Linked DNA regions of Xenopus tropicalis. The protein of the gene in region 5 interacts with the protein of the main gene of each other region in a pairwise test. Links are inferred from orthologs where the notes say so. Each region holds a gene or a part of one and is shown on either strand. Other genes may lie near its edges.

Region 1 (3,494 bases), on a different chromosome or scaffold from region 5:
AAGTTGTTTATATGACATTGGAACACTTGAAAAATCAAACCCAGTAAAACCTTTCCTGGGCAACATTGCAGATTATGACAGTTTAGTTTTTAAAAATGATGCATGGAATTCCACCACTTCAGTTTCTAGGTTGCCATGCTCTAACAACTTCTGTTCTGATGAAATAATGTCAGAGCACTATCCTAATGCATCTGAACTCAGACCTGAAATGGCAATGACGAATGGAAAGCTAGCAGCAAAGATTGATGAATTTAATAGAATTGTTTTTAAGACAGAAAAGGGAAGCAAAGTTTTCCATGAGTCATTACATGACATGTACCAGCCTGCAAAGCAGGAGTCTTGCATTCACTCGCTGGATCACAGTTTGAGCACTGCTCGGACCAATATTAAACCAGATAATGAGGCTGAAATAACTGTGCAATTCTATGAAAACAGTGCAATACAGAGTGAAACTTCTACAGTCCAAAAGTTGCAAGCACATGGATCTCACAGCCGAAGTAGCTACCAAAACATGCTACAAGAGCACAACTGGACACCAAGCAATTTGTCAGGGAGACCACGATCTGCAGACTCTAGGTCCAACTATGGTGTTGTGGAAAAGCTTTTGAAGAGCTATGAAAACAAGGCTCCATATCATATTTCTAAACATGCTTTAAGGAAACGGACAAATTCAGATTTCCTTCTGACAGATGCTAACTCTGAAAAATTGACTCGTTGCTTAGAAATGCTCCAGATTGACCAAGTAACCACAAGCTTTAGTAATGATGTGTCCATTCACCGGCAACTTCGGGAAAATGCTGAAAGCATTAAGCTACCCGAGGTAAATGTAACCTTTTAAAGGGATGGTGTTTGGTTTATCAACACCATTTGTTCTTTAGGTACAGACTTCTTCAGTTCTTTAATATAGATAGTTAAATTTTAGGGATGCACCTAATCCATTATTTTTGGTTTGGTGAACCCTGAATCTTTCGTGAAAGATTCGATCAAATACCGAAATCCAATTCCTAATTTGCATATGCAAAGGCCAAATCTTTGCAGAATCTCGAACTGGATCCTGGATTTGGTGCATCCCTATTAAATATTTTTATTCATTAGTTGCCCATATTCCAGTTTCTTAAAAATACAAAACTCTTAAGGAACTGTGAACTTACACTGTAAATAATAAGAATATGGTTTAATTGTCAACTTCTGACGTCTTAGGGCAAGTTATTAGTGATGCCTGGGCCAACTGAAACCCACGGGAGGGTTTAAAAATTTGTGGGATGCGGGCCTGTTCAGGCTGAGCTCTTTTCTTCCGTCTTTCCTATCCTCAACCTTACTTTGTCCGGCCTCTGCCTCGGGTGCCTGCCCTGCACCACCCCCTTTGTGATGTGTGAAATGGGGTGGGTTGGGTGCAGGTTTATAAACAGAGGTGGGTTTCCAGGTCAGGTTGGAAGCGGAAGGGTTAGGGTCAGGTGTGGTTCAAATTACTACAAGTCATACTTCCTTAAGGCATTTAAATGTACAGTATGGAATTGTACAAATATGTAATGGAAGTAATGGAAATAGTCAACAGTTTTGAAGTGGATATTATTGTCACATTTAGGGAGCAACTTTATAATTCCAGAAACAAGTATTTTTTGATGTTGCAGTATCCTGATGAACCCGAGGGCTTACATTTTCAAAATTAATCCTAATCTAGTTGTCCTTGCTGTTAGATGATCTTACTGTTGTTATTGTCCATGCATCACAGATCTGTTTATGTAAAAATAGACATAACACATATGCGTACACTTGGCATCTTAAATACAGTCATTGGAATGTGACCCCTGCAGCGAAAAGCTGCTAAGTCACAGTTCTTGGAGCTAGAGAGCTTTGACCTTTAAACTTCATTAGAGGGTTTTTGAATTCCATAGGCATAAAGGAAGCTAAATTTAAGACTATCTGATTAATTGACCTGCGGACTAAAGTGTCAAAAAAACACTGTGTCATTCACACTGATGGCCAAATAGCTTGGATTTTCTGAAGGCCCAAGCAAGTGGATCTGGACAAGATAGAGTATGTTAGGCCACTCCCACTTTTAGATCCAATGATGCTTCATTCACAAGATCAGCAGCAGCAGATGGAATTTTTTTTAGGTCTGGTCAGATATCTTAGTGAAATATTGTCAAATATGAAAGGAGCAAAGCCAAAGCAGACATAACTGCAAAGTGCTTGTATTCACACACATGTTTTGGGTATAAAAACTTTGATAAATGCATTCTGCAGTTATATCTGCTTTGGCTTTTCTCATATTTGACATATTCAACATGTTTACACCCTTGTTAAACATGTTGAATGTGGTGGACATATCTGTTGGCTTCGTTTATTTGGGAAACAGTGCAGAATAGTAAAATTCAAACCATTCATAACTGATAATCCCATTTGTTCCTCTAAACATTTTTGGGAGGTATGTAGTTAATCAAATAAGCCTATGGTATAGGCAACAGCTAGGGAGAATACATTTGTATAGAGCTTATTATAGGGTACCTCCTTATAATGAGCTCTATACAAATGTACCTCCCATTACAGTAGGAGGTAGTATGGGCAAAAATTGATTGATTAGTGATATATTTTTCTTTTATAATAGTTGTATATGAACCCTTTAATTTAGTGTAATAACTGTTTGTATATAACAGTACTTGTCACTGCCCAGCTGTAATCTTGTAAACTTTTATTTATGTTCTAGTTGTCATTGTTGGGGACTTCTTCAAATGGAAAAGGATTTTCACGCCCTGCAAGACCAGCTAATAGAAGACCACCTTCCAGATGGGCATCTGGAAGATCCCCCTCAATGCCCCCTTCTATAAGAAGAACAGCAATTTAATAATTTCTGATATCTTCTTGTGCTAAAATAAAGGGACTAGGGATGTGTGAGGAATATTTTGGAAACTCATGAGCTAAAAGTGCATGAAGATGAAACCCACCCTTTTGAAATAGAAGACATGGTCTATATCTTAAAGTCAAGATATTGTGGACAATGCTATGCAGTATAAAGAACCATCTATTATGGTATATCCATTAGGCTTCAGAAAAGCTGACTGATGATACTGAAGGCCATTGATTGAGTATTGTGGCTAAAAGAAAGGTTTATAAGCTTGAGGATGTAGAATAATTACCAGGTTATGAAACTTTCTAACACCTGTAGCAGCACAGCAGCCATGTTATGCAATTCTAACATTTCATTAATCTGAATTTCTCGGACAATCAAACCAATCTTCAGTGTTTGGCGACCAGCAGAAACATATTTCTGTGCTTTTTTTTTCCCCCTTTATGTTACATAATTTATTGTGTATTTTCTTTATATATATATATATATATTTGTTTTGTTTTTCATAATACTAAAAACTAGATCAGTATAGTCCTGTGTTGTAAAAGATCCCTGCTGTGCAGTTGTACAGGTAATGTATGCATGTAACATGTTCCCACTGCATGCTTCAACTTAGAATGTGTGTTGTATTTTAACATAGCCAGAG
Region 2 (4,385 bases), about 36 Mb from region 5:
TCAGGGTATTGATCACCTTTGTGCTGATATAAGGGGAGATCATTTAGATTTAAAAAGTACTTCAATTAAAAACCTCATTGATTCTTAGGTAAACACGTGTAAGTTAGGGTTGACACCTGCCCGGTATTTTACCGGCCTGGCCAGTACAAATTATTCTTAAAGGAGAAGGAAAGGCTAATAAAGAGTTAATCTCAAGCTGCAGGCATACCTTCAGTTCTCTCAATAGTGCCCTTAAGTCTCCCCATATTTCACCTGTTCAGATGATCAGAAGCCTTATAGGGAAAAAAAACACTGAGCTTGGTGAAAGTTCCCATAATGCCTCACTCCTACACCAAGACCAAGAGTACATGCTCAGTTAGTAAGACTATGAGGAATCTTCCTGCTGATTGGCTAAGATCGCACATTCCTAAGGGGGGAAGGGAGTTCTTAGCATTCTTGAGGGAGGAGGGAGCAGGAGAGGGGAGAGAGGAGAGAGCTGCGTGTGTCTGGCACAGGAAAACAAAGAGACAACAAATCCTGTATCTTTTAACAGAGAACTCAGTGCAGCGTTTCTGTGAGTGCTTATGGCTGTATTTACATAGACCTTTCTGATAAAGCTTACTTAGTTTTTACCTTTCCTTCTCCTTTAATGCTAATGTTATTAATAGGGAAAATAGCTAAAAATATAGGAAGGCCAGCATCTTTTTCGAGAAAAGGTGGCAACCCTAGTGCATACCTCCCAACTGTCCCGATTTTCGCGGGACAGTCTCTCTTTTGGCAGCTCAGCCTGCAGTCCCAGATTCTTACTGAAAAGTCCCTCATTTCCCTTTGATCTTCTGCACTGAAGCTAATTTAATTAAAAGTAGCTTTTGGCAGAGACCCCACTTAGATACATTGCACTTAGATACATTGTTTCTCACATTTAATGAAATAAGTGGGCTTTTGGCAAAGAACCCAGAAAGGTAAAGAGCCCCCCCCTGCACTGAGATACAAGTGTAACTAATAAGCTAAACAGACCTCTTGGGGGAACTGAGACTTGCAACTTAAAGGACAATTTCATCTTTTCAGCAAAACTATAACACATAAAACAAAACCCCCAGAAATGTAAACAAACTATAACCTGCCAAATGGGAGTGGTATTTAGGGGGTGTGGTCGCAAAAAAACGGGCGTGGTCACAAAGTAGCTGTGCTCTGCATTTTTTTTTGTCCCGCTTTCCATTTTCAAAATGTTGGAAGGTATGCTAGTGTAAGTCTGAGCTGGGGCGGGGAGTTTTGCCATAATCTTGAGCTCATTATTGTGTTCAGCACGCAAAAGACTTTACATATAATCATAAAAGCACGAAACAACATGCTGTTAGTTATGTACATAACATTTGAACCATATAAAGTTCGCCACACATTATTTCACCCCATGTCAAGCACTAATATTACACAAGATGGCGCTGACGCACCATTAGGAAATAGAGAAATACGCTTTCCGTTGCTTTTTTTTTTTACTACACCCAAACAACCATCTTGGCTTATAAGCAATGGACATGCCTTCAGAAAATGGCGCATAAAATAGCGATCCCTATTGGTGAGGATGCGGCTGCAAATAATTTCCACTTCCGGGGTGAAGTTAGACTGATATTTTCGTCATGGGCGAGGGGCGTATTTAGCTTTTCTGCGTTAGAGCAGGGATTCTCCTCCAGTTTATGCCATGCTAGAGCTAGATACCGGCCCCTGATAGTGAAATGGCGTGGGTACGCACCGCTTTGGAAATCCAGCAGCTTGGAGGGGAGGCAGAGGTGTTTGATGAAGATGGAGACGAGATGCGCCTTTTGCAGCGAGATTGGCAGCTGTCCATGGAGAAGAGAATTAAGGTATTCGGGAGATAGTTAGACTAACATAGCGAGTTTGGGGGCCCCTTTCTAGGCATTGCCCTATTTTACTGGTAAGTGATTTCATGTGCTCCTGGTTACCTACCCCAAGGCATACATTGAGAAGCAGGTTTTCTGGGAATTACAAGGAGGTTGGTAAAAGCGGGGCTCTGTTTTACCTCAGGGCACTGCTGTGTTATGGAGCACTCGCATCGGGGTTTCAATGTTTGTCGCAGGAATTCGGCATTTCTTCTAAACACACACATGTTCTTTCTGTGTGGCCCAAATAGCTAGTCAGTAGTAGTTCAATATAGCACACTTTATTAATTATAATCAAGAGTAATGTGCTAATAAAGTTAGTCCGTTCATTGAAGGTCAGTGGAGTTTGCCCTAATTCAAGACTAACCTACCTCATTTCTCTGCCTTGTCATTGCTTTATACACAACTTTCTTACCTGCACCCAAGCTGTGATTCGGGGAAAGTAGAATAATCACTCCCATTTCAGAACTTTATCAGTCGTTACACAAGTAACTCATTATGAAGTTACTGGTTGACCAGGTTACACTAATTCGGGGATCTTTTTGTGAGCCACAGTCAAATGTAAAAAGACTTGGAGAGCAACACAAGCATCATAAAAGTTCATGAAGGTGCCAAATAAGGGCTGTAATTGGCTATTAGGCAGCCTCTATGCACACTATCAGCTTACAGGAGACTTTATTTGGTAGTAAATCTTGTTTTTACTCAACCAAAACTTGCCCCCAAGTCAGGAATTCAAAAATCACTACCTGGTTTGAGGCCTTGGGGAGCAACGTGTTGCTCACAAGGCACTTGTTGGGGATCACTGCACTAATTAGTCCCATGTCCTACCCACCTACACATTAACCCTTTCACTGCAAGCAGATTTGGTCACAACAGAACGTTTATTGCCAGACAGTTTTTGAACATTTTGCGCTCTTTCACTTTAGAGGCCTTTTCTCAGGGTGGACTTTTAGCTTACCCAGGAAAACAATATATTTTTTTCAGGGCAATCTAAGCTTTCACAATATGCTAGAATTTTTGTGTAATGCCACTTCTATAACAATATAGGCTTCTAAATATCTATATTTAAGTGTATGTGCTTGGCAGATAGAGCCTTTTACTGCCAGCACATACAGCCTACGTGCTTGGCAGTGAAAGGGTTAAAATGGCAGGGAAAAAAATGTACCGTATCCACCAGTATATTGTCTGTTGGATATGTAGGATGCAGTAGGCATGGAGTTTTAAGTTTAAATTAATTTTAGGTTACAGATGAAAACTATTTTAACTGCTTTAATTTTGTGGAATGCTTGTTTAGTTTGAATTTCTATTCTTGTATTCGTAGGAGGGCTACGTTGATGGAATAGAGGCTGGGAAAGAAAATTCTCTACAAACAGGGTTTAATTTTGGATATAAAGTTGGAGTGAACCTGCTAAAGCATTACGGAGAGCTTAAAGGGATCTTAAGGTAAGTTGTATTGTATTTTATCTTCACTTCTCCAGTTATTTCCGACAGCTTTTCAGTCACGGGAATTACAAATGTTTAATGTGTCAAAATGCTCAGGGTGCTTTTATAAGCAGTATTAATTTTTCAGTTTTAGAGCTATTTAAGTTTTTATTAACTGCCAAAATAATAAAGTTTGTAACATCACTGCCTTCTGGTTATTTCCTGCAGTTGTACAGTCAAAGAGAGCTACCTTTTTAATAAAAAAAAAAAACAAATATTGTGCTGTTGCTTTGCTTAGGAAGGAGATGGGAAAAGGCAATTGGGGCTTCTGATCGCTTTCCTGTTTCTGTTCTGAATGTAAGGTTTGTATGTCTTTGACTGTACAATTTCAAGAACTGAGGTAGCAATATTACAAAATTCATTATATTGGCAGTTAATAAAGACTTAAATAGCGCTGAAAGATTTAACATTACATATTTTTAAGAATTGTATATATTTTTGGCAGTTCAGAAGTTTCTACACTTTTGTTATATAAGCACAAAACTGAATTATCTCATGTGAAAAAAGGGGGGCTTTTTCCCCTTTAAAGGGTTTCTTGTCACGGCTACTAAACACCAGAAAATCCCCTGCCATAGAAAATAGAGAATTGCCTCTGCTAAAACACATGTAGAGACAGTTATCAGTAAATGATCAGCATTGTCTGTTTTAGTAGCTGCAACAAGTAGCCGCTACTAGTAGCTCCGTGTGTCTTCACCCTTACAGGAAGAGCAACATTTTTTTTTTTTCTCTAATTTTGATAATTGACAGCCATGTGACTTGTGCTTCGATAAACTTCAGTCACTCTTTTAATTAAGTATTTTGCAACCTACTGCTAGCTCTTCACAAATTTGTAAAATATTTTAAATCTTAAATTGTCAATGTTGATGTTTTACTTACTGCAAACGTGATAGAAGAATGAGTACAATAGGGACAATCAGCAGAAAATTGATGTCAAAAGTTTAACTAGGGTCAGCTGACAATAAAACTTGTTGTATCATCAGGAAATGCCAGTGCTTCTAGAAAATGTATCTATGTTATCATTGTCGT
Region 3 (4,611 bases), on a different chromosome or scaffold from region 5:
AGAGAAATGGGATGGAAGGTAGTGGATCAGCTACCAATGTGCCATTAACCTTACAAAGTAGTGATGCTTTTTATTGCTTGTTGTGCTGAGAAAAAAGTGCCAGTATCCTTGTAATCAATCAATACAACATGTGAATAGAGAAGATTCAAAATATACTTTTTGCAAGTGACAAGGAGATCACCACAAGGCAGATATACAGTACAATTTATTGCAGACTTAAACAACACAACATGTGAAATATATTTTGCTGTACAAGTGTGCAACAAATTCACCGAGCAGAACATCTACATTCTGGTGTTCTCCTCTATTTGCAAAGAGAATATCCTAAGGTGAACGGCTCCCCCTTCTGGAGCTTGATGCAGCAAGCCTGAATGCAGTAAGGTTGTGAAATGCCTATTGTAAAATGCCTATTGTAAGATTACAAATATGTAATTTATTAGACAAAGATCATGTCTTTATTAGACAAAGATCATTACAATGTTTTACAAAACATTAGTAGTGTATATGCATTTAGCAGGGTTGCAAACCAGGCCCAGGGATTCCAAACAGGCCCTGGCATTTCAAGTACACAGAGACCCAAAAAGCCCTCCACCAGCCCACTAAATAGTTACTGTCTATGGCATCTTACAGCAGCCCCTCTGAAAGGCATGTCCTTGTATGCATGCTAATTAAATCATAATGATCATAAACATTCTCAAGGCACCTCAAACAGCTCCCAACCAGAGGCGGGCCAAGCTGACCGGCCATCCTAGGCAATGCGGTCGGTCACCTCTTCCCTGCACTTTCCCCGCCCTCGTGTGTGCTTTGGCGCGCATGTGCAGTTCCATCAAGCACAGGGGGAGGTCATTGCCCCCACCGCGTAATGACAAGCGGCGGGGGCAATGACAAGGTAGCGTGGACTACGGGGTAGGCAAGAGAGGTTCCTGCCTGGCGCCCCCCAATCGTTGTGCCCTAGGCAGGTGCCTGTCTGTCTACCCCTAGTTCCGGCCCTGTTTTGACAGCTCAGCCTGCAGTCCTGGATTCTTACTGAAAAGTCCCTCATTGCCCTTTTCATTGCACTGAAGACCAAAAAAGATACAAATGTTTCTCAAACTTAATTAAAAAGTAGCTTTTGGCAGAGAGCCCAAAAAGTTAACAAGCTTCACCTGCACTGAAATACAATTGTAACTTATAAGCTAAACAGGTCTCTTGTGGGGAACTGACTTGCAGCTTAAAGGGCAATTTCAGCATTTTTTAAACAAAACTGTAATAACACATAAAACAAGACCCCAAAAAATGAAATTCACCTTGCTATGTGTGGCATTTCTTTTTGTCCCTCTTTCCATTTTCAAAATGTTGGGAGGTATAGTTCCATACTTTTGTAAATCACATAAAGTGACATAACATTAACTACAGGATATAAAATACCGTGTCAGTATGTAATACAAATATGAATTGTAAGCAAACAAGCAAAATCAAACTGTACCTATAAAATAAGTGAATAGTCTGAAAACCCGAGGAAAAAAAATGTAAATTTTATAAGGAATGGAATTCCTTTCCCTGGTCTCTTTCCTACTCAGCATTTAAACTTGAATATAATTATATTTGGTATTTATCCCTTTTGTTATTATTGTATTGACTCCTGTATGAATTCATTGCTGGAAGGTTCCCCGCATCCCACACTACAACTTCCGGCAATTTACTCACGTTACAACTACGTTTCCCAGAATGCAATACGCTATTGCGCTTCATCTTCCGGAATGCGTTGTGGTTGTATGGTGTCGGAGAGGGTCTGCTGAATGTAGTTATATTGCGGTGGGATTGCGATTTGTTTTTTAGACGTCTATACACAGCAAGAATCCTTGTGGCTTTATATATGTGAGCGTTTGTGTGCTGGTGTCTCTGTGTCAGTACCGCGGGATGGCAGCCCCTGGAGCGGAGAGTGAAAACACTGGGGCATTAGTGAAACACAAGCCTGGAGCAGGAGCTTTAGACATACAAAGAGAAGTCCCTGAGGCAGCAGAGAGCAGCAGGCCAAAGAAGAAGGTGCTGTGTGAAGAGACGTATATACAGGTAAGTCACGGGGGATACGGTGACATGAGAAGGAATGTGCTCTTGAGTGTGTTTTTGGGGACAGCTGTCAGATCAGTGCGATGTCGTAGAGTCTTTGCAGTACTGTGCCGAAAAACTGAGCACTGGCCCTATAATATTCACACGCATGGCAAGTTACCTAAACTAAATTACATGAGACGGGCAAATGCCCCTTTGACAATAGAGCAACTACTTCAACCAATAATCACAGGTTTTTTTTTAATATTAACTGTTAAATATATATTATCATAGAAGACAGTGGAGCTCAGCTATAAGCAAATGTCAGTGGTATCATCAGGCACAAAGTTCCTTCTGCAGGTGAAAATTTAATGCAACTTTCCCACCGGCCATTCACTTTATTGCCGATGGAAAGGAATTTCTTGGAGATAAGTCTCCCACTGTAGCCGAGATCTAACCATGGGCGACTAATTTCACCGTGGGCCCTTACCCTTGACCCCTACATGTTTACCCATCTGCAGTAACCCATAGCAACCAATAAGATGTTTGCTTTTAAAAGGTGATCAGTAAATGCTACCTGCTCATTGTTTACTATGGCTTACTGCACATGGGCAAACTTAGTACCTTACATAACCCCTATATAGTTTGATAATAGCCCACTGGTTCTCCTTTTAATGCATGCCACTCAAAGTTAAAGCAACATGTTATGGATGTATAAATGAAAAGAGTAATTGGAACAAGAGCCTGCTTGCTAGTTTTTGATGGGTTCCCACTACTGAGAGCAATTGTATTAAAAAAAACTCCCAAAAAAATAGGATTTAAATAGAAACCCTATATTTTCTAAAATGCTTGTACCCTTATCAGCAGATTAATGCCTAAATGAAATGCCACATTAACCCCCTAAACTTGGAATTCATAACATGAAATACAACTTTTCTTTTGTGTTTTTTTTTTAATGAGGAATATGTGGAGTGTGTGGACATCATATGCTCCGTTTTAGAGATTCAGTTTCAGTGGTTAGACAAATCTTGATTTTTATTATATAAAGTGTGATTACATAAGTAAGTCTTTGTCTAGCTTGTCTTTTGTACGGCATAGCAAACAGTATATGTGGTTTGTAAAAACCACCTTTTTGTTTTTCTCTATCTTCATGCAGAATCTTCAGAAAATCATTCAGAGAGATTTCTTCCCAGATGTTGAGAAGTTGCGGGCTCAGAAGGAATATTTGGAAGCAGAGGAATGTGGAGACCTTGAGAAGATGAGACAGATTTCCATTAAGTTTGGCTCCACCTTGGGCAAATCAGCTCAGGATACTCCACTGCCTTGTAAGTTTATATTACTAATGAGCTCATGGGGAAGATCCTGTTACTTATATATTTTATATTCATGCTACTTAATTAATGCAAATGCTGCTTGGGTTTTAAATAATGGGCTTGCCTGCTTAGAAACAACATCTAATGGGTTAATGTAATAAAATGTCTAAAATGTAGCAATTTGTAGCCGCCAATCAGTAAACAGTAATTGCTACTAGCTAATTGATTACTTTGGGTTTCGAGACAAGCTTTACACATTATTCCCATGCGAGATAGGGAGTAGCAGCCTGGCTTAAATAATTCCGAAACATTACTACATATATAAATGTAAATATTAATTGTCAGATGAGTTTGTTTTTTTAAAGACTGCAATAGGTATAGAATTTCCAAGACTGGAGCAGTGAGAAAAAGGTTTAAGGTAGGAGACAGCAATGGAAGTGGGTGGCAGTCGCATTGAAAACTTGGGAATATGTTTATTAATACCAATTTTAATTCTAGCTAAAAATATTCCCAGGTTTTTACAGTATACACTGACATATTTTAAAGATAAAATAGCTTTTTTTTTGTTTACATTATTTTGTGTTCCGGCTGTAAAACTTGGAATTTAGAGTGATAACTGGTTGCTGGGGTTTTTGTACCCTATCAATGAGGCAGAAGTTTGGAAATCAGAATGAAAGATAAAAAACTTCCCAAAATGTATTATTTAAAGAAAGTGTAATTTTATGCCTACCCTACCTTTCCAATATACATTAATATAGATTTTATTTTTAAATTAAATTAAAAGCAGCATCTTTTTATAACTTTTTGTTTTCTAGGCCTACCTTAGACTGTCAGGTTAACTGGTTCTTGAAACTGACCCTAGTGTATGTGCATACATACTAGGGATCTTATATTGTACGCTCTGCTGTGTTAGGGCGAAGACAGATGGGGTGATTAGTTGGCGTGATTTTTAAAATCCAGTCACAGCAACTAATCACCTGTTGGAAAAGTCGTGGGGACTGGTCCTGCACGGTACCATGCAAATGCAGTGAATTGTATATCTGTGCACAGAGATTATTCTTCACGAGAAGTGATGGGCAAAATAATTTGGCAGGCATGGATTTGCTGTGAATTTTCGAGTTTCGCCATTGGTGGCTTGTTTTGCGAAATGGGCGACAAAATCCGGTGCACATGGAATTTTCGCCGTTTTGTGAATCTTTTGACAGATTCGCTCATCACTATTCACGAGCGTGGTTTTCGTGCGCAGCGACTAATTGCCCCATCTGGTGTT
Region 4 (3,562 bases), about 12 Mb from region 5:
AGCAACGGCCAGGTAAAAGTACAGAACCATTAATGTCTCCTTGCCAATATGCTTTAGCAATACATTAATAAATACTTTATTTACATTAGCCCTATGGGATTGGTAATGCATTTTTCCACTTTCTGTAATTAATAAATGATTGCAAGGGCTCTTTCTGAACATGTGCACAAATATGGCTAATAAGAGGTAGCTGAAAAATAAGAACTCAGGCACAGTACTGACAAGCATAATTGTTAGCCTCAAATAAAATAAAAATAAAGAAAGGGAGAAAAAGAAGAATCGTGTGCTGTATGAAAGTCATAAGCTCACAAAAGTAGATGTGGGGTCCAGGGGCACATATCCAAGCTATGCAAAAAGAGGATTAAACCCTATAAATAAATATGGCTAGGTTTGCCATATTTTGTATACGGAACTTACTCCACCAGCCAAAAGGTTTAACAGCTCTATAATAGTAATGATCCATGCCTTGTCACAGGAGAGCTCCCCATAAGATTAGAAATCACCACTCTGCGCTTGTGAATAAGAAATCAATTCAAAAACACTTAGGGGCTGATTTACTAATCCCCAAATCCGAATGGGAAAAATTCGGATTGGAAAACGAACATTTTGCGACTTTTTCGTATTTTTTTTTCGTTACGACTTTTTCATTGCCAATACAAATTTCGTGAATTGTCGCGACTTTTTCATAGCCATTATGACTTTCATGAATTGTCGCGACTTTTTCATTGCCAATACAAATTTCGTGAATTGTCGCGACTTTTTCATAGCCATTATGACTTTTGTGAATTGTCGCGACTTTTTCACTGCCAATACAAATTTCGTGAATTGTCGCGACTTTCGTATTGAGCACTCGAAAAAGTCGCAAAACACCGATCGTTACGAAAAAACGCATTCTGACGCTTTTCGGACGTTCGTGGATTAGTAAATGTGCCCCTTAGTGAGCTGCCAGATACCAAAAGATATTGGGGAAAAATTAGTTATCTCAAAAGAAAGTTATTTAGTAACATCGCTCATATAAATAATCGTGATCACAATTAATTAAAAACAAAGGAGCTCCCCATCTTGGTTTCTGTTAGTGACACTCACATGCTCTGGGTAGCTGTTGAGAAGCTGAGCTTTGGGGTTGTCATAAATTATCAAGCAGAAAATAAGGTTGCCTGTCACAGTAGCTAATGCTATAGGGCTGACTAGAAATCGGGGGTTGTTTCCACTCACTATATATATATATATATATATATATATATATATATATATATATATATATATAATGATTCACGGTTTAAATGAGTCATAGACTGAAGAACACTGTATAATATATATAAATGTGCACACTTTAAAATACTCGTAACAACTTACACACTGTTGGTCTACCTGCAAAGTCTCCAACGCAAAGCTTTACATAACAACGAGGTAAATACCATTGCTTTTCTTCGTCACCCAGAATATAGTTTCTACCATAGAGGGCTGCTGGCTTGTTAGATATTATGTGCCTTGAACTGAATTATATACTCTCGAAATCAACGCACCAGGGACGGCGCCTAAACTCCCTTTCCAGTACTCTACAATAAGAATTCGACCGTCTGGCTGGTTTTATTGACGTCATTTGCCTGCGCCGGCCATTTAATGATCACAAAGGAGTCACTCCTGTTTCGGGCTCTGTTGGCGACATGTCGGTGAATTATGCGGCTGGCTTGTCTCCCTATTCCGATAAGGGACGATGTGGGCTCCCGGAGGCATTTGATCCACCGGACGAACTGTGTCGCAAGGTAGTGGAACTAGCTGATATGATTCGGAAATCCTCCTACGTAGTATTTCACACGGGAGCCGGGATCAGTACTTCCTGCGGAATCCCAGATTTCAGGGGGCCTAATGGAGTGTGGACTCTGGAGGAGAAAGGTGTGAACCCAAAGTTTGACATCACGTTTGAATCTGCATGTCCTTCCCCTACCCACATGGCGCTGCTTCAGCTGCAGAGGGTTGGCATCCTGAAATTTTTGGTTAGCCAAAACGTAGATGGCTTGCATGTAAGATCTGGCTTCCCCAGAGAGCAGCTGGCAGAACTACATGGAAACATGTTCGTGGAGGAATGCAGCAAATGTAGCAAACAGTACGTGCGAGATCAAGTTGTAGGAACCATGGGGCTCAAACCTACTGGGAGACTCTGTGATGTGCCCAAGGTGCGAGGCCTGAGAGCTTGCAGGGGGAAGCTCAAAGACACCATTTTGGATTGGGAAGACTCACTTCCTGACAGAGACCTAAACCTAGCCGATGAAGCCTGCAGGAAAGCAGACCTGTCCATTACATTGGGGACATCACTGCAGATTAGACCCAGTGGGAACCTACCACTCCTCACCAAGCGCAAGGGTGGGAAACTAGTTATTGTAAACCTTCAGCCGACCAAGCATGACAAGCACGCGGATTTGAGAATACACGGTTATGTGGATGAAGTGATGACACAGCTCATGGAGCTTTTGGGTCACAAGATACCAGTTTGGACTGGTATGCCTACTAAAACAGAGCCAACTAATGGAAACTATAAGGAGGAAAATCATTTCTACAATGATTCAGTGCTGGGTGCTAACCCAAACCAAAAAAGAGAAGGATGCAAGGAAGAACCTAATCTCGAGCCAAAAAAGGCAAAAGTTGAGCCAGCATGTGTATGATACTGGTCTTCTTAGTTCAAAAAAGGTGCTATATTCCTTAACTTGGCTCTAACTTTGTTTTGTGCTGGACATAAGAATACCCATATTTGGATATGTATGAGCCAAACTATTTTATATAATGTTACACACAGTGCTGTATTAGCTTGTACATGTCTTCTTGACTGAGACAGGCACACACATTAGAGAAAATGTATCCGTGAGAGATGTGCCACTCAGTTTCACTAAAGTTTTCTTTTTCAGGATGTATATCTAGCAATGCATATAAAAAGACTTGATATTGTACATTCCTCTATTTTTAAAAAAAGGGAAAAAAAAACAAAAAACAGTTTACAGAACTGCCAGCCATTTCTTTAAACAGAAATAAAATACAACTTTCTCAGATGCAGCAAGATATATTTAATTGATTTTTATACCACTGCTGGCTGGTTGCATTCATAAAACCGCAGTTTAAATAAATGAATTGCCTAGCTCACATGCATGCCAAGTGACATTGCTGACCTGAACCACCTTTTTGTCCTACCCTTCTATTTACAAGGAGCTTAGGCAGGCATAAGGTACACTGCTTCGGTTTCCCTGTGCACTTGTGCAAGTGACATAACTATGCTTTACTTGTGTAACCGTGGCAAAGCATAAACCAGAAGCTTGAAGCAATAATCATGGTGTAGAGAACCCCCACTATCCTAGTGATACTCCTCCAATAACCCCCACTATCATAGTCATACTCTTCCAATCAACACCGTACCTTCATGAGCTTCCTGACACCATGCCAGTTTTAATAGATTATGCTGATTGGAGCAACATTTCAAGGAATTTATTCCAGAAAGATCCTTGTACATGTAATTCTTATGACTAGCGAAACCTCTAGAAAAACACAGCAAGTCTAGTTGATTTGACTTACC
Region 5 (4,512 bases):
GTAGAACTTGAAGGTCTATAATTAGGTTATATATACTAGTTTATAGAATAGTACAGGGATACCCATATTGCAGCCTTATTGTTAACGGATGTAATACAACAGCAGCTAAGAGGTCTCTGATAAAGGTCTCTGATAGTGATGGGCAGGTCTGAAAATTTCCAAGCCGCACCTGACGTAACCCACAGATTTCCGTCGTGCATCTAAGTTCTCATCCATTTTTTTAAGACCAGACCCATTTCCAATAATGGGTGGAGCTGATAGAGTGACACCACCAGAGGGGAGACCAATGAACAGAGGCCCTGTTTGAAATTTTTGCTACCTAATGAACAGCACTTGAGCTTCAGTTTCTCAACCCAAACCCTCCCCCCCCCCCCGACTCACTGATCCGCCCTTGGCTAGTCTAGTAATAGCAGCATATTTATTATATCTTCAACACTTGATTGTTTTCTCAATTGACTGACCATAGGGTTTCCCTATTTGTGAAAATATCCTAAGCTATATATATATATACAGAAGAATCATGCTAATACAGAAACCAAACATCATAACTAATTACACACCTGTCCCATTGCCAAATTTTGGCTGAGAAGATCTCAGATGTATCAACATACTGATGCCTTATGAACTGCTGTACCACTAGGGGGATTTCAGCACATGTTGTACAGTAAGTGCAAGATCTAAGTGCAGTATATACCAACAGTTTGAAGTAGTATTGCTTCTCATACCTGTCTAAATGACTGCAGGTTGCCTTCTGCTTCTTCCTTCTGGATCATTTCATCTTGTAGCCTAAAGTAAGAACAAGTTTCAGCTCAAAATGAGAAAGATTTGTAAACCTTGGGAAAAGATTTAATTGTAGGCTTTGTAGAGCTAACAAAATACAATCTTTTATTTAGCACTAAGCATACATTGTAGGACATTCGCTGATTGCTTTAGCAGAGAATGGGGAATCATTTTTGAGTGATTTTGTACCATCTCCTATGCAGCTAAAAGTAAAGTAGCTAAAGTGAAGTCTATGATATTGCAATGGGCAAGTGATGGGGTTGGTTTTATCTAGAGGGAGTCATCACCACAGCTTGGTTTTGGGGTGCTATATTGTAAAGACCCAGGGAACCCCGCCCAAGCCTGAGATTTCTGCCCAACTTCCAACTCTTCTTAGATTATAGCGCCACCTAGGAAGTACCTTGATAAATTTGGCTCTAAGAGGAAATTTATGAAGATATATTGTATGTGTGTGTGTATTACTTTCCTCAAATAGTTGTTCTGCCATGACTAAGTTCTTTAGTTTGCCAGTAATGTTGCAAAACAAATGTTTTTTTTCAGAACAATTGGCTAATAGGCCTAGGGAGGAACTCGATCTCAGTAAACTTTCTCTTGCCAAACAATTTAACCAAGGAAATGCTATATAGACATCCAACCCACTAGTAGGTTTTTATTGTTAATAGGCCAATATAAGGCTATTTGGATAATGAATAAACAACGCTCCATCTATTTGTATGTTTTTATATTACAAATATGCATCTTCCATTAGCAATGAGACCAAAATGGAGGCAACATTCAGTCTGAATGGAGTGCCACACCCATCCCAATGAGCACAATGCCAGACACTGAGTAGGAAAGTTTTTCACAGTGTCCCTGGCAAAGTATATGCCCAGTTTTTCATAGTCCTTCTGCATTTCTGACCATTATATAATCTAGCCTGAAGGTTTCCATCATTTCTGATAAAGCAGCCATCTGACAACAAAGTATAATCTTGTTCAGTGCAAAGCAGCATAATGAACATCCTGACTTACATAAAGTAGTTTAATAATCTCTTTAATATCTCTATTCTGACATTTCATCCAGGCTCTCCATAACACAAGACTGCCATTAACACTTGCCTTAATCTACTGAATGGAAACTAATATGCTAGCCATACCATAGCTACAAACATTCAAACCCACATCAGCTGGGACTTTAATGGGATGTACATCATACTGGAGAAACAAAAGGCAACACCCAGTCTATACGGGGAACCTGCAGCTATTGCTAGACTACAACTCCCAGCATACCCTCACAGTTTTAAGCTGAAAGGAGTCTTTAAGAAGTAGTTGGAGAAGGAATGGCTATACAGAATGATAGATACAACATACTATTTACAATTACCCTATAGGAGGATGCTGATAAGTGATTAGGTAATACAATGAGGACATTGGATCAGTAAGCATCCACCATTAGCTGTAACTATGATAAAGTTATACTTGCTCTTACTTTTCTCTCAGTCGCTGGAGGTCATCGGCCAGGTTGTCTCTGTCTACTTCTACTCGGTCTTTAGCGTTGGTCACTTGATCTAATTGTCTACGGAGCTCCCTCATCTCCTCCTCGTAGAGGTCCCCTATCCGTGAGGTTCCCTTCCCTTTCAGCTGTTCCAGCTCAGCCACAAGGATCTTGTTCTGCTGCTCCAGGAATCGCACCTTGTCGATGAAGTTGGCAAATCTGTCATTTAGCTCTTGCATTTCAGCCTTTTCGTTGGTCCTGTTGGCTTTATATTCAAGGTTGACAGCATCTGCTAGGGTGAAGTCCACTGTGTCTGCCAGCCTGGCTGGGGGAAGGCTGCTTCTCAGCCTTACCGAGGAGGACTTGAATACAGCAGGGGAGGCAGATGTGGAATAGACAACTCTGCTGCTGCTGCTGCCTGCGCCTGGGCGCATGGCACTGCCCAGGGAATACCTGGTGCTGGAGGTCACATAGCGATTTCCAGAGGAGCTCGACCTAGGGTTTCCCCCGAAAATCCTTCTGTAAGATGACTTGGTTGTTGCCATTGTGGTGCTTAGGCTCTGGGTTTCCTTTGTAATTCCTTGGACACTTGAGTTTCTATGTGAGCACCCCTCTCCTCACCCAGCCAGTACTTGAGCAGTACAGAGAGCTGGCACCAAGGGCGGTACTTATACAGAAGCTAACAGGGTTTCCCATGACAGATGCCTCAGACAACCTATCAGATTTGCTGCTCAGTTTCCCCTTGTAAGTTCTTAGCCAATAGAAACACACAGGGCTGGACTAGCGATCCGCTACTTTGTGCTCATCTTCTCAGAAAGTTACTTCGTATCTCTTGCAGGAGTAGAGGGCTGGGTTCTCTTAGCACTATTCTGTCCCTCTTATCCCTCACATCTAATGTGTGGCTCCAAAAGAAAGGACACAGCACAATAATACAATTTCTTTATGCAGCCTTCTGCTCATTGAAAACTTATTGGCTCAGGTGTCCAGCATGAGCTTTTTTAAACTGTAACTCTCAACCTAGTGTTGGAGTGGTAGATGAACAAGAGCCAGAGGGCTGCAGTTCCGTTACATTTAATAAAATCCATTGCATGTTATATGGTGCTCACAACCCTCAGCCTTTCTCCTCTCATCATTTTGTCCCAGCCACCACCCCCTCCTCCTTCCCTCTGCCTCTGCATGATGATGGGGGGAAGGGAGGGGGTAGAATGAAGTCCAACGAAAAGGCTGAAATTCAAAAGCTGAACGACAGATTTGCTCTGTAGACAATTCTTTTTTAAGCTGCTTAGAAGATGGTACAATATCACCCAAAAATTATCCCCCATTCCCTGCTAAAGCAATCAGCGGAAAGTCCTACAAAGTTTGCTTAGTGCTAAATAAAAAAAATTATTTTGTTAGCTCTACAAAGCCTACAATTAAATCTTTACCCCAGGTTTGCAAATCTTTCTCATTTTGAGCTGAAAATCTTGCTTTAGGCTACAAGATGAAATGGTCCAGAGGGAAGAAGCAGAAGGCAACCTTCAGTCACTTAGACAGGTATGAGAAGCAATAATACTTCATACTGTTGGTACATACTGTACTTAGATCTTGCCCTGTACAACATGTGCTGAAATCCCCCTAGTGGCACAGCAGTTCATAAGGAATTAGTATGATGATACATCTGAGATCTTTTCAGCCAATGGGACAGGTGTGTAATTAGTTATAATTACACATTTTTGGTGCTTGGCTTTATTATCCTTCTGTATACTTGTAGATTAGGATTTTTCCACAGATAGGCAAAACGTATGGTCGGTCATTCCAAGAACATGTAATCAAATTGAGAAAACAATCACATTTTTAGATGTAGTAAATATACTGCTATCCCAGGATTAGCCATGGGCAGATCAGTGAGTTGGGGGATTGAGAAACTGAGCCTTAAGTGCTGTTCATTATGTAGCCAAAATTTAAAACAGGGACTCTGTCCACTGGTCACTCCTCTGGTGATGTTACTGCACCAACTCAACCCATCCACAACATTATTGGAAATGGGTTTAGTCTTAAAAAAATGGAGGAGAACTTAGATGCAGGGTGGCAATCTGTGGGTTATGGTGCAACTTGGAAAATTGCTGACCTGCCCATTAGCATCAGGGACCTTTATTAAAGGCCTCTTAGCTGTTGTAATTTTATCCGCTAGCCCATTACCAAAAATTGTGCATTGTTCCCAGGTGCAAATACAGTGTATCCTTTAAAGGAGAAGTAAAGCCTAACTAAATAAGCAGGGTA
Region 6 (3,881 bases), on a different chromosome or scaffold from region 5:
TACTGCTACTACAATATATGATTGACAGCTCAGATCTTTAATACACTTAACTGGTCTGGATGATTTAATTAAAAAAAGAATTTGGGTTTCAAGTTTAATTTTTAAAGGACTTTTATTATACTGCTTTTTATGTGTGGGCGACAAGTCCCCTTAAAACATTACAAAATAAGGCCAGACTAGGAAAAACTCAGTCAAAATAAATTAGATTAAATATTATCATTATTCATCTTGCAGGCACAACCCTCTAGTGGCCAAAAAAGAGAAATGTTACAATATATAAGTGCTAGATTAGCATGAAACGCACTAGGCTGCATACATGGGATTTTTTTAATGGATTACAATAAAGATTTGTATTTTTACATTTTGATCCTCGGCGGACTTAATCTTTATATATTGTAACAGGTCCCCTTTAAACCCTGTTATGCACTTCAGGCGCTAGGCAGGTTACTAAGGGGCCTGCAAGGCAATTTGGTTGGTGCATGTAGTCACTGGCAAAACTGACGTAGCAGAAATGTTTTATTATCTATGGATTTTGTTCAATATTACATTTTAAGAGAGGAACATAATTATGGGATGAAAGGTTTAATAAGTTACCCAATGAGTTGCAGCCAGGAGTGGGGCACTTCATGTTAAAGTTGTAGCTCTCATGAAAGCGCCTTCGTTTAGGCCTGTGAGAAAGGTCACTTCCAGAGTCCTTGAGGGACATGTCCTTGGCAATGCTCTCATCGTGAGACACGTTGGGGCTGGAAATATCAATGTCAGACTCAGAAGACGGTGCATTTCCAGTTGGAGTGCGAGGCGGTGACTCGTCGTGATACCCTGCGTTTTTAGGGTCTGCAGCAGAAATAGAAAACTTTGTATCATGGTTTGTACATGGAAGTCTGACACATGTAGAGAAATCTACTCTACAGGCTTACAAGCTAGAGAGACAGCCAGCGTGCATCTACTAGGACAAGAGAGAAAGAAAGACAGAGCATGTGTCCGGCAGCAATTGCAGCTCATCTGCACCCCCGTACCTCTGTCACAAAAGTCCACCGCCTGCTCAGTTTCTGATCCCGATGAACGGGTCTGTCGGAGTGGGTACTTTTTCGGAGTCACGGGGGTGGGCTGCTGCTGGCTGCGGGTCACCCTCCGAGTGGAGTAGACCGGCTCCTCTGCACCAAACGATTGCAGATTGCCGACTGGGCTGGAATCTGGTTTAATACAAACCAAAGTTTCACTCGCCAATGCTGCCAACCCTTTGCACCCTAGCAGGGCAGGAAAGCAAAGCCCTTGATCTGTGGCCAAAAAAGTTAAATATCTTGCCTGACTGATAATTTAATTATCTCTCAAGGACAGAGAATACTAATTTTATTAAAAATTTTTGCTCATGAGCAAATAAGTGTCCCTTTAACTGCACTGCTTCCCTCAAAAACAGATATTACCCCCCAAAAAAAGATAAAGAACACTGCTTTCAGCCAACAAAGTTAGCCAATGGGGAAAATGGCAAGGCAGTCAAAGACCTGCAGGAGAGATTAGCGGACATATTTTAACACTGGCCACACATTGGCTGATGAGCACGTAAATCTTGCCAATGTAATTGGCCAATAATTTTTTTCCCAAAAACTCATCCCAATGACAAAAGAGAAAAAAATATCAGTTTGGGAACAACTGCATTCCATTTTCCACTTTAAACTGCCAAACAGAACAATCCAGGACTATGACCACTTCAGAGCTGCAATGGGCATGCCAAACTCTACTGATTTTGAGAAACTCAAGTCTGTAGCACATTGGGTGAATTCTGGGGTGTTCTGCACAGTTTAGTTGTGATGCCAAATACCCCAAATGACCACGCCATCTCCCAGTGCATTGGTGCTTTTCCAGCAATTGTAGTTTTAAAGGCTGATGACCAAATATCAGCTGAAGTGGTTTCTCATTGGAAACTCTTCCACAGCACATACAGTTACCTACAAAGAGCAATAAGCCAGAGAGAAAACAAAAGTGACACTAAAGAAAAGTATGAAAAGAACTGATGTGCAGGGTAGTCACGCAGCCCGAATGGTGTGCGAATTTCACTAGCTGCCTGGCAGCTTCTGGGGAGTCCTTGACAGTACACCCCAAGCTAATCAATGGATCTTAATAGAGCAAACAAAAAGTGAGGGGTTTTTTTTGCTTTGTGTAAAAGTATTGCTTTGCAAAACGATTCCTAAGCTGGGAAAAGGGGCCAGCCAGTCTGAGATGAGCTAAGCACAGGCCATGTGATTGGACCTCAGGGGGCTCAAAAAGAGGGGGGCTCAAAAAAGTCCAAAATTCTCTGCTTTAAGAGAACCCTGCGAACAGAGTAGAGAAAACGTAGTTTTAATATATGGCTCATACACAAGTTTTCATTCCAAGACCTTAAATCCCATGAAGAAAGACTCACATTAGATCATAATGGTTGCAGGAACCTTTAAAAGACACAGGGGGTGCCAATGAGTTAGGCCCCACTAGCGAATATAATCACTAATGGTAGACCTTAGGCTGGCACTTTTTCATACAGGTGCTATTCCTGCAATGCCACCATCTTTTCCCTGCACTGTACGGATAGCTCACATGTGCACTACAGTCAGAGTAGGTATGACGTCCCAGACACCGAAGAGGATCACTGGGACATAAGCACAGCTGGCAGTAATGTGCAGCAGCAATTGCACCACTCAGTCAGTCTAAGGATACTCCCTGGGGGTGCCTAACACATTAGCACACCCCAGTGATCCTCACTTTATTTATATTTTTTAAGTGCTAGAAATGATAAAAATCGGTGGCACGGTGCCACCGGTTTTCTGTTTCAGGTTGCCCTTTGAGTTATGTCATGCCTTGTGTTTACTGGCAACATACAGGCAAAGATCTTTTTGAAGCTTAGTGTTACATGGGATTTCTGCTCAAAATCAACATTTTGCACATTGAAAGAAATAAAATTCTAGCAACTTTACAATATGCATTCATTATACATTTTCAATGGTGCTAAAGTTATTTGTAGGTGTAACTGATATTAAAAGCAGCATGTCTGGTTCTGTATTTCCTTCACTTCTGGCTCTGACTCATGAAATAATGTTGTAAGCCAGCAGATAAAATCTAATCGAAAGACCTAAGAGAACTGACAGTTGTTCCATTGTTTTAGAGTCAGACCAAGCGAACAAAACAGGATAAACACAAACCAGCTTTGACAGCAATTATGTTTACAAATAACTTTAAAAATGTAAAGATTTTCAGTGAATGTATATAGGAAAGTTACTTAAAATAATATTTTCTTTCATTCTGCAAAATGCCAGTGTTTCGGTGGAGGACCCCATTAAAAGTTCTTTGAACGTTTCAAATCCTGTTCCTCAGAGCAGGAAGGTGCACACACTGCCCCTGTGTTTACCAAATGAAAACATTTAAATTAAAAGTATGTTACAAAGTTACTTATAGATCACACGGATTTTATTTTATTCCAGGCTCACTACAAATACTACTCCTCTCTGCTTTGTAACACTGTTAAATTTAAACATAAATAACCCCAGCTCTCAAGCTTGTGCCCTAGCACACTGTCCACTAAAAAGTCCAAATACAGGTTAGCAGCAGTGAGAATATTATTTTGAATGACCAATGATTTGACAATTCTGGTGTATTTGCAATTTAACTGCAACCACATTGCCCATTCCAGCCGACAGAACCCATTTATCCAGCCAGGTAAATGTACTCCATATTGTACAGTATACCCATTTCAAACTTGTTTTTGCACTTAGGACGAAGACATACGGGACGATTGGTGGTGGCGACTCATATTAACCTATGGCATTTAAATCTCCTGCGATTAGTCTCCGTGACAGTTTTTTAAAAGTCACTGTGACTAACTGCCCAGACTAATAGCTATATTAGAAATA
Region 7 (4,425 bases), on a different chromosome or scaffold from region 5:
ATAGATATACCCAGGGTATATACCCAGGTAATACCCAGTTTATATATATATATATATATATATATATATACCCAGGTAATACTCAGTTTATATATATACCCAGGGTATATACCCAGGTAATACCCAGTTTATATATATACCCAGGGTATATACCCAGGTAATACCCAGTTTATATATATATATATATATATATATATACCAAAGGTATATACCCAGGTAATACCCAGTTTATATATATATATATATCCAGGGTAATACCCAGGTAATACTCAGTTTATATATATATATACCCAGGGAAATACCCAGGTAATACTCAGTTTATATATATACTCAGGGTAATACCCAGGTAATACTCAGTTTATATATATATACCCAGGGTAATACCAAGGTAATACTCAGTTTATATATATACCTAGGGTAAGACCCAGTTTATATGTATATCTACCCAGGGTAAGACCCAGTTTATATATATTCCCAGGGTAATACCGAGGTAATACTTAGTTTATATACTGTATACCCAGGGTATATACCCAGGTAATACCCAGTTTATATATATATATATATATATATACCAAAGGTATATACCCAGGTAATACCCAGTTTATATATATATATATCCAGGGTAATACCCAGGTAATACTCAGTTTATATATATATATATACCCAGGGAAATACCCAGGTAATACTCAGTTTATATATATACCCAGGGTAATACCAAGGTAATACTCAGTTTATATATATACCTAGGGTAAGACCCAGTTTATATATATACCCAGGGTAATACCGAGGTAATACTTAGTTTATATATATGCCCAGGGTAATTCCCAGGTAATACTCAGTTTATATATATACCCAGGGTAATACCCAGGTAATACTCAGTTTATATATATTCCCATAGTAATACCCAGTTTATAATACTTACCAGTGACTGCTCTGCTCAAACCCAAGTCTCACCCAGCTAAAGACCATTCTGGGTAATGTACTAAGTTGTAGCAGAGATTGCAGAATGTGTCTCTGAATAAGGTAAACAGGGCAACTTGCTGCTGGCAGGGGATGCTGGGAGTTGTAGTTGTTACACAACAGCCCATCCCTGGAACACATAGTAGTTTAGTAAATATAATACCTGCTAGCTCTCTAGTAAAATGATGACATATTATATATTTATATATAGAGTATATGTTGCTAGCACAGCTACCAGAATACTGCATTGCAGGTTTCTGAACCTAAATCTAAATATATGGGTAAAATCACCCCCTCACACTCAGACCCCTCCGGCCTGAGATGCACAGGTCCGTTTCCCAGCCAGTTCCAGGCCAGATAGGGGAGGGGGGGGGCGGCTGTGCGCGTCCCTTTGGTGGGAGGTGAGATTTCTCTCCTGGAGGGGTCCCCCTAGAGCTGAGCCAGTGAGTGCTGAGTGGGTGAGTGGCTGCTGCATCCTCGCCTCTCTGGGAAGGAATCAGCCCCCGGAACCTGCCCATCAGCAGCATCAGCACCAAGATCTGCCCCGGCTGCCGCCTTCTCTCTGCCTGCGCTTATTCCTGGCGCCGCGGTAACAATAGGATTCATTCACTAGCTCTGCGCCCCATTCACTCACCGCACCGCTGCGTTATTGTGTATGAGCATCAGCCTCCCCAGCAGCAGCAGCAGCAGCAGCAGCGATAGCGCAACCCGGGCTCAGCGGCGCAGCATGGAGAGGAGATCCAACTGGAATAAGGAGGATGATCTCCCTGTGTATCTGGCCCGGCCAGGCACCACCGCGCAGACCCCCAGAGTCAAGTATGGGGGCATGTTCGCCAATGTAGAAGGGGCCTATGAAAACAAAACCATTGATTTCGATGCGTACAGCGTGGGGAAGAAAGGGACCCGCACCCCCAGGAGCAGCAGCAGGCCGGACATGGACGGGGACAATTTCAGCGAAACAGCCAGCGATGTGAGTGAGATCTCCGGATCGGTCATCAGTTCCCCCGGGGAAAGGGAGGACAGAACCCCCGGCATTGAGATCAAGTACAGCGGAGGCAAAGAGCTGCTACAGGGCCAGCACAATGGCAAGGTACAGGGAGAGGCTTGGGGGGCAGCACCATCACTCAGGGCTATGGGGGCCACAAGCTCTATACACCTCTCCTTCTATTAACATTTGATAAACCATATTAACCCTTTTGCTGACCGAATTCCCTTGGGGTTTGGGGGGGGGGGGCAGTAACCCCCAATGAGCATATATTGCTGGAGATTTCACTTACAACTAAAAAACAGATGATACCTGTTTGCCTCTTTCATCCGCAGTAGCCATGCTGCTGGCCCTACATTGTGTGAGAGATTGGATCCTGGAGCCTAAGAGCTTACGATCTAATTCTACAATAAAAGATAGCAGGGACTTGTTCAAGGTCACCAGGAGCCCAGAAGCAATGGGGCAGCAGGGTGAGCTATAGGAGCATTCCATTGAGAAGTGACAAGATAAATAGATTGGAAATGATTATACAGTACTGGGATTGGAGCAAAAGGGTCTCAGGGGCCGGAGAAATGGAGGTTAATGGAGGTTTCTATAAAGCTAGAATTATAGAATCAAATCCAATAATTTATATTCATATATGGGAAACATATTGTTGTGTATATTGATACATTCAAGTTCACAGGTGAGAGTTTATGGGTGCTGGGTGCTTATCTGTAAGTTTTCAGACTGAGTTAATGAGAGGGCAGCTCTTCAGTTGAATGGAAATGTAATGTTTCATGGACTCGCTGCATGTCATTTAGCAGTAACATGACCCATGGCAGTTATTGATAAATCATATGACTACGACTGCTTATATGTCATGTCTTTCCTTGTGTTGGGCCCAGCTGCCTGGCAAGGAAAGGGTGAGGCTGCGCTACTTTGCCTGAGTGGGTCGGTGTAACAAAGAGGAGTGGCACTGAGACTGCAAGGCCTTCCGCCTGTATCTCATCACTGGAGCTGATTCCCACCCCAACACACTTACTTACTACATGTTCATTTCCTTGACTTCGGATCAGACGTCAAGTCTGAGTTGCCAGAAAGTCATTAAAAAAATTGTAGCAATAAATAGCACAAAAATACTGTATATATTGGTTTAGCAGCCCTGGCTCCCTGTTGCAAGACTAATGTCCCTGCTTTGCAGTTGCAGTTTGTTTGACAGCTGTCTAATTGCCCAGAATTTACATTTTGACTCAAGATGTGATCAATATACAATACTTTCCTTGTGTCATTAAATGGCTGGATGGGATACAGTGTCCTGCTGACAGAACCAGTAGATACTTTCACCTTTGATCTGCCTTGTTAGATACAAGCATAGGTTAGCAGGTTGGCTCCTAGCTGGTTAGTAGGGTCTTCTCGAGCCTTGACAAAACAGGACATGTGACCTTGTAACATACTTTATACACACTCTTGCGTATATATAATAGAGCAATGACCCAGATGGAGACTGGTGAGACATTGGAGCATTTCCCATCCAAAACTATATGAAGAACTAGGATGGAACTGGCACTGTTGGGTAGGCCACAAAACTGATCCCTTAAATTGTTGTAACCACTAAGGTGGTAGTAGAAGTGTTGGAAAGTTTCAGGATAATATTGAGATAGGAGTAGACAGTGCTAATCCAGGTAGAGAAAGGTGTCAGGCTGGATATACTAATACCGGAAGGTTTTGGTTTTAGTGACAATAAGACGGTGTCAGTTAAGATGAGGATATATTTAGGACACTGGGGAAACAAACGGTGGGCCCGGCCCTTGTAGGCCCCACTGACCCAGACGAAATTCCCTCCGGAAAGCATTGGTGCTCCCCTCCAACCTTAGCCCAATTGTGGTGAAGTAAGTACAAGTAAGGTACAAGTCATGCAGACAGTTAGAGTCCAGCGCAGGTTTAAGGTAGCGATGTAGTTGATTCTAGCTTAGGTAGATTTTGCTGTGGAGATGTAGCCTGGGGAAAAGAGTGATCAACCCAATGGGTTTAGACTCAGGAAGGTTTCATTAGGTGATAAGGTTGAACTTAATGGACATGTGTCTTTTTTAATCTCATTTACTTTGTTGCTGTGTCTCTATTTTAAAATAGAAATCAAAGAACCAATTCAAACGGAAATGTTCTAATGTCAAATTCCTCGTGCCCACTGACACTGAAGGTTTGATGGATGAGGATCAAGGTTCTGGCTGGGCAGGTAGATTGTAGATAAAAAAGTTATCTCAGCAAGTAAGGATTTCTCCAAAGATATATCCCTTAGCCAAGAGAAGAAGAGGCAACTTCAGGAAATTGTAGCGATGTGTATGCCATCCCAACGGCGATTTACATTCTTGCCGGTGGGATGGCATTGCGGGGAAATTAGTCGTCTGCGGTAACGAAGATTTGTCGTGGGGCGACTAATCCCCCCATGTACCACTGCCCTAAGAGCATGAAACTGGGCTTATTTTAGCTCTTTGTCAAAT

What was found.
Region 1: the proteins of vim (region 5) and kiaa0408 interact in binary tests that used the Homo sapiens proteins (3 or more experiments, as listed by UniProt). The link is inferred for Xenopus tropicalis from reciprocal best matches to the Homo sapiens genes VIM and KIAA0408.
Region 2: the proteins of vim (region 5) and yae1 interact in a two-hybrid assay, tested with the Homo sapiens proteins (2 studies listed by BioGRID and IntAct). The link is inferred for Xenopus tropicalis from reciprocal best matches to the Homo sapiens genes VIM and YAE1.
Region 3: the proteins of vim (region 5) and ess2 interact in a two-hybrid assay, tested with the Homo sapiens proteins (2 studies listed by BioGRID and IntAct). The link is inferred for Xenopus tropicalis from reciprocal best matches to the Homo sapiens genes VIM and ESS2.
Region 4: the proteins of vim (region 5) and sirt6 interact in a two-hybrid assay, tested with the Homo sapiens proteins (2 studies listed by BioGRID and IntAct). The link is inferred for Xenopus tropicalis from reciprocal best matches to the Homo sapiens genes VIM and SIRT6.
Region 6: the proteins of vim (region 5) and kat7 interact in binary tests that used the Homo sapiens proteins (3 or more experiments, as listed by UniProt). The link is inferred for Xenopus tropicalis from reciprocal best matches to the Homo sapiens genes VIM and KAT7.
Region 7: the proteins of vim (region 5) and crmp1 interact in binary tests that used the Homo sapiens proteins (3 or more experiments, as listed by UniProt). The link is inferred for Xenopus tropicalis from reciprocal best matches to the Homo sapiens genes VIM and CRMP1.

Annotation. Positions count from the first base shown.
Region 1 is NC_030681.2:67,955,435-67,958,928, reverse strand, and holds the end of kiaa0408 (uncharacterized protein KIAA0408 homolog), read left to right. Parts: coding exon 1-820; intron 821-2,707; coding exon 2,708-2,845; downstream 2,846-3,494.
Region 2 is NC_030682.2:64,476,532-64,480,916, forward strand, and holds the start of yae1 (protein YAE1 homolog), read left to right. Parts: upstream 1-1,575; 5' UTR 1,576-1,712; coding exon 1,713-1,841; intron 1,842-3,198; coding exon 3,199-3,320; intron 3,321-4,385. UniProt on the Homo sapiens protein: The complex LTO1:YAE1 functions as a target specific adapter that probably recruits apo-ABCE1 to the cytosolic iron-sulfur protein assembly (CIA) complex machinery. May be required for biogenesis of the large ribosomal subunit and initiation of translation.
Region 3 is NC_030677.2:153,459,217-153,463,827, reverse strand, and holds the start of ess2 (splicing factor ESS-2 homolog), read left to right. Parts: upstream 1-1,705; 5' UTR 1,706-1,899; coding exon 1,900-2,052; intron 2,053-3,184; coding exon 3,185-3,353; intron 3,354-4,611. UniProt on the Homo sapiens protein: May be involved in pre-mRNA splicing.
Region 4 is NC_030682.2:40,099,234-40,102,795, reverse strand, and holds sirt6 (NAD-dependent protein deacetylase sirtuin-6), read left to right. Parts: upstream 1-1,661; 5' UTR 1,662-1,667; coding exon 1,668-2,663; 3' UTR 2,664-3,046; downstream 3,047-3,562. UniProt on the Homo sapiens protein: NAD-dependent protein deacetylase, deacylase and mono-ADP-ribosyltransferase that plays an essential role in DNA damage repair, telomere maintenance, metabolic homeostasis, inflammation, tumorigenesis and aging.
Region 5 is NC_030682.2:28,585,056-28,589,567, forward strand, and holds the start of vim (vimentin), read right to left. Parts: upstream 2,868-4,512; 5' UTR 2,799-2,867; coding exon 2,248-2,798; intron 787-2,247; coding exon 726-786; intron 1-725. UniProt on the Homo sapiens protein: Vimentins are class-III intermediate filaments found in various non-epithelial cells, especially mesenchymal cells. Vimentin is attached to the nucleus, endoplasmic reticulum, and mitochondria, either laterally or terminally.
Region 6 is NC_030686.2:14,512,415-14,516,295, reverse strand, and holds part of kat7 (histone acetyltransferase KAT7), read right to left. Parts: intron 1,194-3,881; coding exon of another isoform or gene 1,017-1,193; intron 835-1,016; coding exon 595-834; intron 1-594. UniProt on the Homo sapiens protein: Catalytic subunit of histone acetyltransferase HBO1 complexes, which specifically mediate acetylation of histone H3 at 'Lys-14' (H3K14ac), thereby regulating various processes, such as gene transcription, protein ubiquitination, immune regulation, stem cell pluripotent and self-renewal maintenance and embryonic development.
Region 7 is NC_030677.2:25,635,789-25,640,213, forward strand, and holds the start of crmp1 (dihydropyrimidinase-related protein 1), read left to right. Parts: upstream 1-1,424; 5' UTR 1,425-1,615; coding exon of another isoform or gene 1,616-1,687; coding exon 1,688-2,050; intron 2,051-4,425.